3 linked regions of the Bombyx mori genome follow. Each later gene encodes a partner of the first gene's protein in a complex. Links are inferred from orthologs where the notes say so. Each region holds a gene or a part of one and is shown on either strand. Other genes may lie near its edges.

What was found.
Region 2: p53 and DNA damage-regulated protein 1 (region 1) and prefoldin beta subunit share a complex: the UniProt entries of both Homo sapiens proteins name them as parts of the PAQosome complex. The link is inferred for Bombyx mori from reciprocal best matches to the Homo sapiens genes PDRG1 and PFDN6.
Region 3: p53 and DNA damage-regulated protein 1 (region 1) and dynein axonemal assembly factor 10 share a complex: the UniProt entries of both Homo sapiens proteins name them as parts of the PAQosome complex. The link is inferred for Bombyx mori from reciprocal best matches to the Homo sapiens genes PDRG1 and DNAAF10.

The regions. Positions count from the first base shown.
Region 1 is NC_085121.1:8,869,218-8,872,045, reverse strand, and holds p53 and DNA damage-regulated protein 1, read left to right. Parts: upstream 1-1,557; 5' UTR 1,558-1,642; coding exon 1,643-2,041; 3' UTR 2,042-2,301; downstream 2,302-2,828. UniProt on the Homo sapiens protein: May play a role in chaperone-mediated protein folding.
Region 2 is NC_085112.1:4,987,603-4,990,625, forward strand, and holds prefoldin beta subunit, read left to right. Parts: upstream 1-1,410; 5' UTR 1,411-1,541; coding exon 1,542-1,910; 3' UTR 1,911-2,399; downstream 2,400-3,023. UniProt on the Homo sapiens protein: Binds specifically to cytosolic chaperonin (c-CPN) and transfers target proteins to it. Binds to nascent polypeptide chain and promotes folding in an environment in which there are many competing pathways for nonnative proteins.
Region 3 is NC_085131.1:9,119,246-9,123,650, reverse strand, and holds the start of dynein axonemal assembly factor 10, read left to right. Parts: upstream 1-1,519; 5' UTR 1,520-1,621; coding exon 1,622-1,905; intron 1,906-1,987; coding exon 1,988-2,115; intron 2,116-2,463; coding exon 2,464-2,681; intron 2,682-3,443; coding exon 3,444-3,566; intron 3,567-4,405. Other genes in the region: CXXC-type zinc finger protein 1, read right to left, coding at 1-115, 186-212. UniProt on the Homo sapiens protein: Key assembly factor specifically required for the stability of axonemal dynein heavy chains in cytoplasm.

The sequences.
Region 1 (2,828 bases):
TAACACAAGAAAAAGTCTCAGTATTACAAGCCAGTCCGCTGTGCTCTCCAGCACATTTATTACATCTAGGTTTGCTCCTGCATTGAACACGAGTGTGTCCAAAGCGACAACAATTGAAACATTGTACCGTTGGATAAATATACTGTTCAACTGGAATACTTGAAAAAAAGGAATACACTCTAGAGGGAAGAGACTGTCCGTCAAAAGTCAAGACCACAGTTTGAGTAGGAATCCATGAAGTTCCATCTGAGTTGACAGACTTCCTGTTTAATCTACGGGATTTGATAATTTGTCCATAGCCTTCTGGGATTTGCAGATTGTCTACAATGTCCTCATGAGTCCACTCCTGAGGGATACCCTTTATCAAACCCATTTTACATATATTATATGTAGGAATCACTACATTATACAATGGATTCATAGACATGTTGGCTATGAAAATATTGGCATCACTATGTGTTTTAAAAGTTATTGCCAGGCGATTACGACCTACTCGTTTAATTCCATCCTGTAATATATTACCAAGATTGCTTTTCTTTAGAAAATTTCCAAATTTAAGTGGGTGCAGTGATGTAGTACTATTAGAATCTGAGATTAAAGTAACATGGACCATATATGGGCCGGGATCCTGTTCAGTGTATTTTTTTCTGTAAACAGAGTCAGCCATTGGGGTCTCAGATGGTGTCATAGAAGGACTCGCTGAAGTAGGCTCTGGTGAGGTCTGTACAATTTGGCGAGGAGGCACTATAAGCTTATTTACGTTATTTGCAAGATTTCCCGCCAAAGCCTGCTGCAGCGGGCGCAACGAAAGTTGTTTGTCCGAGATCTTTGGTTTAAAAGAATTAACAAGTTGTTTCTTTTTTTGGGATTTCTTCGATTTAACGTTGACAAATTCAGATACATTGGAAAGGTCGAACTCATCACAGAAAAATATTGGTTGGCTAAACCTTGAGTTAGTCGTATCAGTTGTCTCCTCAGTAATATTCGGATCCGGGGGATCCGTTCCCGCCTCCAACTCCATACTATCTACACTAAAGTACTAAAATATACAATTATAAACTAAACATATATACAGTTATAAACTAAAATATGCTACAATATCTACAGAATATCAAATTAAATTAATTAAAAAGGATATGAAATTTTTTATTGGCCCTCTTCTCAAGTTCCGTCCCAAATTTTTTCAGGAGTGAAGTTGTGTGATTTGTTTTATTTTTTCTATTTAGTGTTTCTTCGGGTTTAAATGTGTAATAATGGTGGTTTATTAACTGTTTAATATCTGTGAAAGTGCACAAATGTGGGAAAATGAAACAAAGCCAATGGACGTAACTTCTTGAGATCCTCCAAAAAGTCCACTGAAAAAATCTTAGTGAATGACCACCATTTTACTGAGATTATATTTCATCCCATTTCATTTCATTTAATTTCATCCCAGTTGATTAATGTCTTAAATTAGTCGTCTTCATCTCATTTCACTCCATAATATCATTTTTCATAAAAATATGAATATAAATTAAAATAAGACATGACTTAAAGGTCTCAGTTACCAGGTCATAAAATCCCTTAAAAAAAAAAAGTGACATCAGCTGGCTTCGTTTAAAAATTAAAAATACGAACAAAAGTTATTAAACATGCACTAAACATGGTAAATAATCAAGAAAAACTATTGAGGTATTTAAAACAAATAGAAACACTTGCATCTGATATTCTTGTTGATAAAAATGAAATTATAATGCTAGATAAACGAAGAAATAAAAATCGAGAAGCGTTAAGAGATCTTACTAAATCAAGTCAGAAGAAATATTGGCTCACGGTGGGATCAATACTCGTAAAGCATAAGTTTGAAGATACTAAAACTCTGCTGGAAGCCGATCAAAAACAATTAAATATTGACATAAACAAATTGAGGAGTGACCTGAAAATCAAAGTCAATACATTGAGAGATCTGGAAATGCAACCACCAGTTCCAGGCTTAATGTTAGTACCTCTGTCCCAGAAAGAAACTGAAGGATTAACAAAAAGTAATTTATTTTCTTTGTAATGGAAAAGTAAAATCAAAACTTAAAATAGTAACAATATTTAATTTTGATTATTCAGAAATGGAGAATGCTACACTATTTTATTGAGGTAATAGGGGTTTCTGAAATTTTGCTGACTGTCATGTATTTAATGAGTAGACCATTATGAAAGTTCATGTCAGAAGGTAAAATTATAATAATATATTATTATGGGCATCCCTCGTATAACACAGTGCTTGTAAAACCCAGTTTTGACATTACACAGTACAAGAATTGAGAATAATCTATGATTGTTTTATTTTTACACAAGTTCAAAAATATAAATATATATTGGATTTTTTTTTATTTGCGTTTAAAAATGGAAATTTCAACTTTATTGCTATTATGAAATCTCCCATTTCATACTGAGAAATGTCAGAATGCATTTTGTTCATAGTAAATGAAATTGATAAAAGTTTTTGCTTTTGTTTTTAATATTTTGGAAAGTAGTGACAATTGAAAGAAAGTAAATAATACCTGTCTCCTACAAGTTTATATGTTCATAATGATTTCAAATTGTGGTCCATAAAAGATTTAAGTCAGAATTTTTATGGTCATTTTAATTTTGAACCTTTAAATTTAAATGTTTGACAAAATCACGAAGCAAACGAAAGCTACTAAATATCAGTGTTACTTTTATTTTTAAATTTATATGATTCTTTTTCAAAATAAATGTGTAACATTAATAGGAGTATGCAAGTATAGAGGGTACAGTTAAGCACTACTGTCTTATCGGGGACAAATTGAATAAGTAGCAACACAACGGAAAAG
Region 2 (3,023 bases), on another chromosome or scaffold:
ATTATTTTGGTGCTAGAAACTTTGCTCTCTTTTATTTATTTGATATTAATAGAAGACGACTGTGATTTATACACGTTATTTAGTGTTTGAGCCATCATATATATTAAAGGTAAGTCTCAGTTGTTATTGGTTTTAATGTATTTGATAAAATAAAAATACATGTAAAAATCTGTTGTTTTTGGGGATATTGGGGACGTCTTAGGTACAAATAACAACGAAAAAGGGGTCAATTGGGATGAGAATACGTGAAATGGAAACGAGCTGAGTATAAATAGGTACAGGTTTGTAGGGTTGTCTATGTAGTTATAACAATATTTTTTAAATTTGTTGGTAAAAATCTTGTTTATTCATGATGTTTTTGTCTAGAACTTTTATTCAAAATTATCAATGTGTTATTTTATTGTTTGGTAAATACTTATATTATCAGTTACGTACTGTTTTCTATTTTTAGATAATGCCTCGCGTGTACGTATTAAAGAGTGCAAAGCCTTAAAAGAGATATGATCCCTTAATATTAAAAACAGCAATAGAAGCCTTTGAAATTGGGAATAAGTCTTTAGTTGAAATAGCTAAGCAATTTAATATAAGTAAGTCGATTTTGCACAGACATCTAACAAGAACAATGAAATGTCAAGGTGGACAAAAATGTCTAAGTAATACATAGTAAAATATTTAATATTTGTTCAGAGTGGGGGTATTCATCTGATTAATCCATGGAATAACCAACACACCTAATCTCTTAACCCAGATAAAAATATCAGCCCCTAAGTACTTACCAAGAACGAAAAAATATAAACCGTTTATAAGAAAGCTTACTCTCCTTTGGGACTACAATAATGTCCACGGTAGCATGGTCTCCGTCAATGTTCATTCGGAGTTGTCCGATTACGCTGAACTAATTTTAAGTGATGAAATAAATTTTTTTTAATTGTATCACAACTTACAGGACAAATCTGTCGCGGATCATTTCTCAAGTAAATATAAATTAATCATAAGTAAATAAATGTAATCAAGTTGATGATCACTTTGTTGGTGCAACTAAATAAATAAATAAATTAAAACCAAGTAGTGGCAGCCCTAGCAAATTTCTCATTTCGTCCCAATTAACCGCAATTTTCGGGTAAATAGGGATTACACCTATTTTTGCTTTTTTTGCTTAAACTGGAATGCTAGTTGCATAGTTTTAAATTGGACAACAAAGATGCCCCCAAGACTCAATCATTTCGATCCTGATATAGCATTATATACATCAACATCTACCTTAAAATTGGTCATAAAGTTGGAATTTGTCCCTAATCGCCCCATTTTACCGGTACGTAGTGACACTTGAAATTTTTTGTGTATTATCTATGGTTAATTTCAAAATCAATGTCAGACAAATGACAAAACCATAGAGAATACACACATAACCCATAGATTATACACTTAATATATTTGAGACATAACCTCAACTAAAATTTTTGAGCAGGTGAAAAAAAACGGAAAAGATTTCTGTATTAAACTGTTTATTTTCTATCAAATCATACCTTGACTGAAACACAATGGCGGAAGAAATACAAAAAAAGTTTCAAAAACAGCTCGAATTATTTCAAGGTGTTCAAAAAGACATAAAGAAAGCGGTCACTCAGAAACAACAATTAGACAGCCAGTTAAATGAAAATAAAGCAGTCAAAGAGGAACTAAAACTCTTAAGAAAAGATTCAGAGGTATACAAACTCATCGGACCCGTATTGGTGAAGCAAGATTTGGAAGAAGCCAGACAAAACGTCTCCAAACGTATGGAGTACATTAGCAAAGAAATCAAAAGAACAGATGATCACATATGTGCTTTAGAAAACAAACAAGAAGCACTGCAAGAAAACTTAAATAAACTTAGAAATGATCTTGGCAAACTAAAACTAAAAGCTTGAAAAATGTGTGAATTAAAAGTAAAATATTTCTATTCTTCTATTATGACTCACTTGTATGTTTAGAGAACTACTATTACAAATAAAAATATTACACATTAATAATTTAATGTATGTTTAGCTATGCAATAATCATGAAAAAACTGCTGTGTGGCATTACACTAAACTTACCTCTTCCTTTTGTTAACTCAATATAAAAATAAAAAATCTTACTGAAAGTAAGTTTTTATTTTACTGCCATTGCAGGCAGATGTTTGTGGCCCTCCTGATGTCACCATCACTCATAGACATCAGATATGCCAGGAGCACAGCCAAACTGCTGCCTATTATTTACTTATTATTTATTTTCAAAACTAAAATATTTTGTTACTTGTACATATTTATTTTTGTGTGTATAAGCTGAAAGTTTGCAAGGTAATTGACGGTATAATGAGTACCATTAGTTTTGAAACCAGATTCATCTTAGAATAATTGTTCGCTTCTATTACCAGTAGTTTTGTATATTAACCTAAAACCATATGACAATCTAAAAAAAATTGGGTAATTTTTTGTTTTTAAATACCTATTACAAATGTTATGTATTGCATTTGTATACAAATGGTCGGCATAATTTAAGCTGGCAGTGGAGAAAGTGCACAAATGTAATTTAATAAACTTATTCTAATTATGTTTCCAATGATTTATTCAATAATTAATACTGCTCATAAAGAATACAGGCATAAAAAAAATTGTGTCTTGAATCTCAACATAGTGCAACTTAATCACGTTCAAGATACTCATTCTCCTGCATTAAGCTACATAAAGCTAAAGGCATTGAAGTTACAATGTGTCACTATAAAAAAAATACACATTTATAAGCTTTTGTACCCAATTTAAGAATTATATTGTTCCTAATGAATCCCAAGAAACTGTAACTTTAGTATTAATAAAGTTTGTAACTTTCTAAAAAAAATACCTTTTCTTTTTATGCAGTCTACATTTCTTGAGTCACTGTTCATTACTGAATTAGGATATCATCCATAGTTCTCTGCGACTAGCCTTTTTGAATGCAGAGAGCTACTTATGGTGAGCTTCTTGTGTTTACCTGATCAACCTGAAGATGCCTGACTTCTTGAA
Region 3 (4,405 bases), on another chromosome or scaffold:
ATCGCGAACTATCCGAAGATCGACAAATGCAGTACGCTTGTCCAGCTTGATTCAGCAATGTTGTAATTTTGGATTGGCGTTCAGGCAAGTCGAACTGCTTAGCAATGTCCGCTTTCTGGAGCAAAAAGATATTATTTACTAGATACATTTGATTTCTATAGGATTTACATTTCACTAACACTTACAGATTGTCTCGACTTTTTATCACCCATTGTATTCCCTTTATTTCAAAACCGATTCAATGACACTAACAACTGCTAGCACCCAAGGAAGTTTTTATTTTTTATTTAACAAATTTTATTCTTTTTTCAAATAAATAACTTCATTCATTCTTTAGACTCGTAATTTTTTTTTCAATTTTCTTTTCATTTCCTCATATTTTTAGAAAGTTATTGAAATATAAAGTTTGGCCACAATTTTCCAAGCTATAAAATTGTCGTTTGACACATGGGATAATCAAAGTTGAGAATTTGATTGAATGGTCTGTTCCAAAGACAAAAAGGGCCCATAATGCCAAGTCTATTGTAACAAAAAATCGAACTGAAGGACGGAAAGTGATTTAAAAAAGAAGAAAGATTTTTCAGAGGTTTTAATCAGGTTAAAATTTGAAATGATAATTCAAGTATTAACCTTTTAGTGTCTCTAAAACTTATGAAGGGTAGAAAGAAGTAAGGAGCACCATCTTGAGTAGGGGAGAAGCTGAAAAATGTTAGAAGATTACTGGTGGTAGTACGTCTTATGAGTCCGAACGGGTAGGTACCACCATCCTGCCTATTTTTGCCGTGAAATAGTAATGCGTTTCGGTTTGAAGGGTGGGGCAGCTGCTGTATTGTTCCTTACAACTCATGTCTCGAGGTGGGTGGCGGCATTTACGTTGTAGATCTACGGGCTGCCGTTACCACTTAACGCCAAGTGGACTGTGAGTTAGTCCCCCATCAAGGCTTTATAAAAAAGAATAACTAAATTAGCGCTAGTCTAGGAAATGGAAATGATAGGAACATGGGAGGCTTAAGCAGAGTGAAGTGTGCTGGGTTGAAAATTTAATATTTTTTGAGACTTGCGTAAAATATTATATGGACTTTTTGGCGGGAACGCAAGAAGTGAAATTGTGTGATTTGTTTTATTTTGTCTATTTAGTGTTTCTTCAGGTTTAAATGTGTAATAACGGTGGTTTATTAACAGTTTAATATATGTGAAAGTGGACAAATCTGGGAAAATGAAACAAAGCCGCTGGACGTAACTTCTCGGGATCCTCCAACAAGTCCGCTGAAAAAATCTCAGTAAATGAATGACCACCACCATTTTACTGATATTTCATCCCACATCATCTCATTTCAATTCATTTAATTTCATCCCAGTTGATTAATGTCTCAAATTACCTAATCATCTTCATTCACTCCATAATATTTATAATTTTTCATAAAAATAAGAATACTAATTAAAATAAGACATGACCTAAAAGTCTTAGTTACCAAGTCATAAAATCTTTTAAAAAAAGCAATATTATGTGGCCTATGATGCTGTTGCCTAGCAACCAAAAACCAATGCTGTCTGTCACGTTTGTTTTCGCTAAAGATTCGCATAAACCTTTGAATATTTCTTTTATATCTATTTTTAAGTCATGGAAGAATTGAATACCCCCCAAATAATTACCCATATTGAAAATAACTTAAACCATTCACTATTTGATTGCAAGTGGATACCATGTTCGGCTAAATTTATAGTACTTGGTTCTTTACCGAAAGGCTCGGGTACCATTGAAATATTTGAAATAAACGCCGGAGAAATTAAGAAAATAAAAGAAATTGAGAGGTCTAACTCGTTTAAATGTGGAACGTTTGGAGCAAGTAGCGACATTGAGAGACGATTTGCTACTGGAGACTTTAGAGGCACTTTGGAAGTATGGTTTGTAACAAAATCATAAAATCCATACTTTTTCCGGATAATCATAAAAATCGAATGTTAATAAATAATTTATTTTCTATAGGGACTTAGAAAAAGGTTCCCAAGTGTACATAACAAAAGAACATTCAGATATAATTAACTCAATAGATGGGATGGGAGGTAACACAACCAACTGTGGAGCTCCTGAAATTGTAACTGGCAGTAGAGATGGTAAGGTTTCATGCCAAGGATTATCCTGTTACATTAAAGGGTACTCGTGTGGTGATGAGTAGATTTTCTAAATCAATATTACAATACCTTCTAAGATTTGACTACCATTAGCCATGTTGACATACTGGGATAGTTTTTTTTTTATCCTCATCAGATTTTGATTTTGTCCAAAATATTTACAAATTTTATACACAAACCTTTCTCACACTTCTATTTATATCTTTGAAAATAGTATCAAAATTTGTTAAGTCATTTAGAATAAGTAATCAGAGAAACAGACATTGGGTTTAAAACTCTTTAGGAAAAATAAAAATGGTAGTGATAACATAATAATTACTGAAATTATAGGAACAGTAAAGGTTTGGGATCCAAGGCAAAGAGGTAAACCTGTTGCAAACATGCAACCAATGCAAGGTGAGACTAGAAGGGATTGCTGGGCTGTTGGCTTCGGAAACTCATTTAATGATTCTGAAAGGATTGTAGTTGCTGGTTATGACAATGGAGATCTTAAAATGTTTGATTTGAGAACAATGTCACTTAGGTGGGAATGTAATTTGAAGAATGGAGTAAGTATGTAATTTCAAGACTAAATTTAAGATTTTTATGTCACAACTCGCAATAGGCATATTATACAACATGCATGATAAAAAGTTGTTACTGAAACCTGTTAACATCAGTAAATACAGGGTCATTACTAGTTGTATAGTAGCAGTAGTTATTCACTTTAATCTTGTCCTAAGAAAGATGTGTTATATTTTTCAAAAAGTCACAGTAGTGGGGGAGGGAGTTCATTTTAATTTTAATGTGAGTAATTATTTAAGAAAACATCAACACAATTGAAGTAAATAAATTCAGTTAATCTCGAAATTTTTATCATTATCTCAACTGGTACTCTGATGAACAATGACTTGTTATTATCTGTGTGTGTTTTAATTCTTTGTAGTTTATGATATATCCTAAATTAGCTTGATAGGTTGTTTTGCAATAGAGATATATATTTATATAACTGGTGGTAGGACCTCATGTGAGTCCGCACAGGTAGGTACCACTACCCCGCCTATTTCTGACGTGAAGCAGTAATGCGTTTCGGCTTGAAGGGTGGGGCAGCCGTTGTAACTATACAGAGACCTTAGAACTTATATCTCAAGGTGGGTGGCGCATTTGCATTATAAATGTCTATGGGCTCCAGTAACCACTTAACACCAGGTGGCCTGTGAGCTCATCCACCCACGTAAGCAATAAAAAAAAAAATATATATATATATATATATTAAATTATATCTAAGTCAAAATTAATAGATAAATATTGAAGAATTTTTGTTTGTTTAGGTATGTTCCTTAGAATTCGATCGTAAAGATATTCCAATGAATAAATTAGTGGCAACCACACTTGAAGGGAAGTTTCATGTTTTTGATGTGAGGACTCAAAATCCAACTAAAGGATTTGCTCAGGTAACCTAATGTTTTACTGACCAGCAAGGAATGTCTTTGAGAAATAAATATGAAGATTGCATGCAATGCAGAGCATTGTTAAATTTGAATTTTCCTACCCCTGCCTTATCTATTTTTACCACCATTAAATCACATGTTCTGGTGTATACTATAGTACAGCTGTTGTTCCAATTTCTTTGAAAGTTTATCTACTCTATGTATTTGGCAGAATTCTTCACATTGCAGTGTCTGTTATCTCAGCAATAGATGGGCTGTATCTCTATTCATCAGAATCCATGGACCTTAATATATTAAAAGCACAATCTATAGTTACATCAGTTAATTTAAAAGTCGTCGTGGCCTAAAGGATAAGACGTCCGGTGCATTCGTATCGAGCGATGCACCGGTGTTCGAATCTCGCAGGCGGGTACCAATTTTTCTAATGAAATACGTACTCAACAAATGTTCACGATTGACTTCCACGGTGAAGGAATAACATCGTGCTATAAAAATCAAACCCGCAAAATTATAATTTGCGTAATTACTGGTGGTAGGACCTCTTGTGAGTCCGCACGGGTAGGTACCACCGCCCCGCCTATTTCTGCCGTGAAGCAGTAATGCGTTTCGGTTTGAAGGGTGGGGCAGCCGTTGTGACTAATACTGAGACCTTAGAACTATATCTCAAGGTGTGTGGCGCATTTACGTTGTAGATGTCTATGGGCTCCAGTAACCACTTAACACCAGGTGGGCTGTGAGCTCGTCCACACATCTAAGCAATAAAAAAAAAAAAAAAAAAAAAAAAAAAATAATTACCGTTCTTCCATAATATTCATGAAACAATGCTGCTCTTAATAAACTAA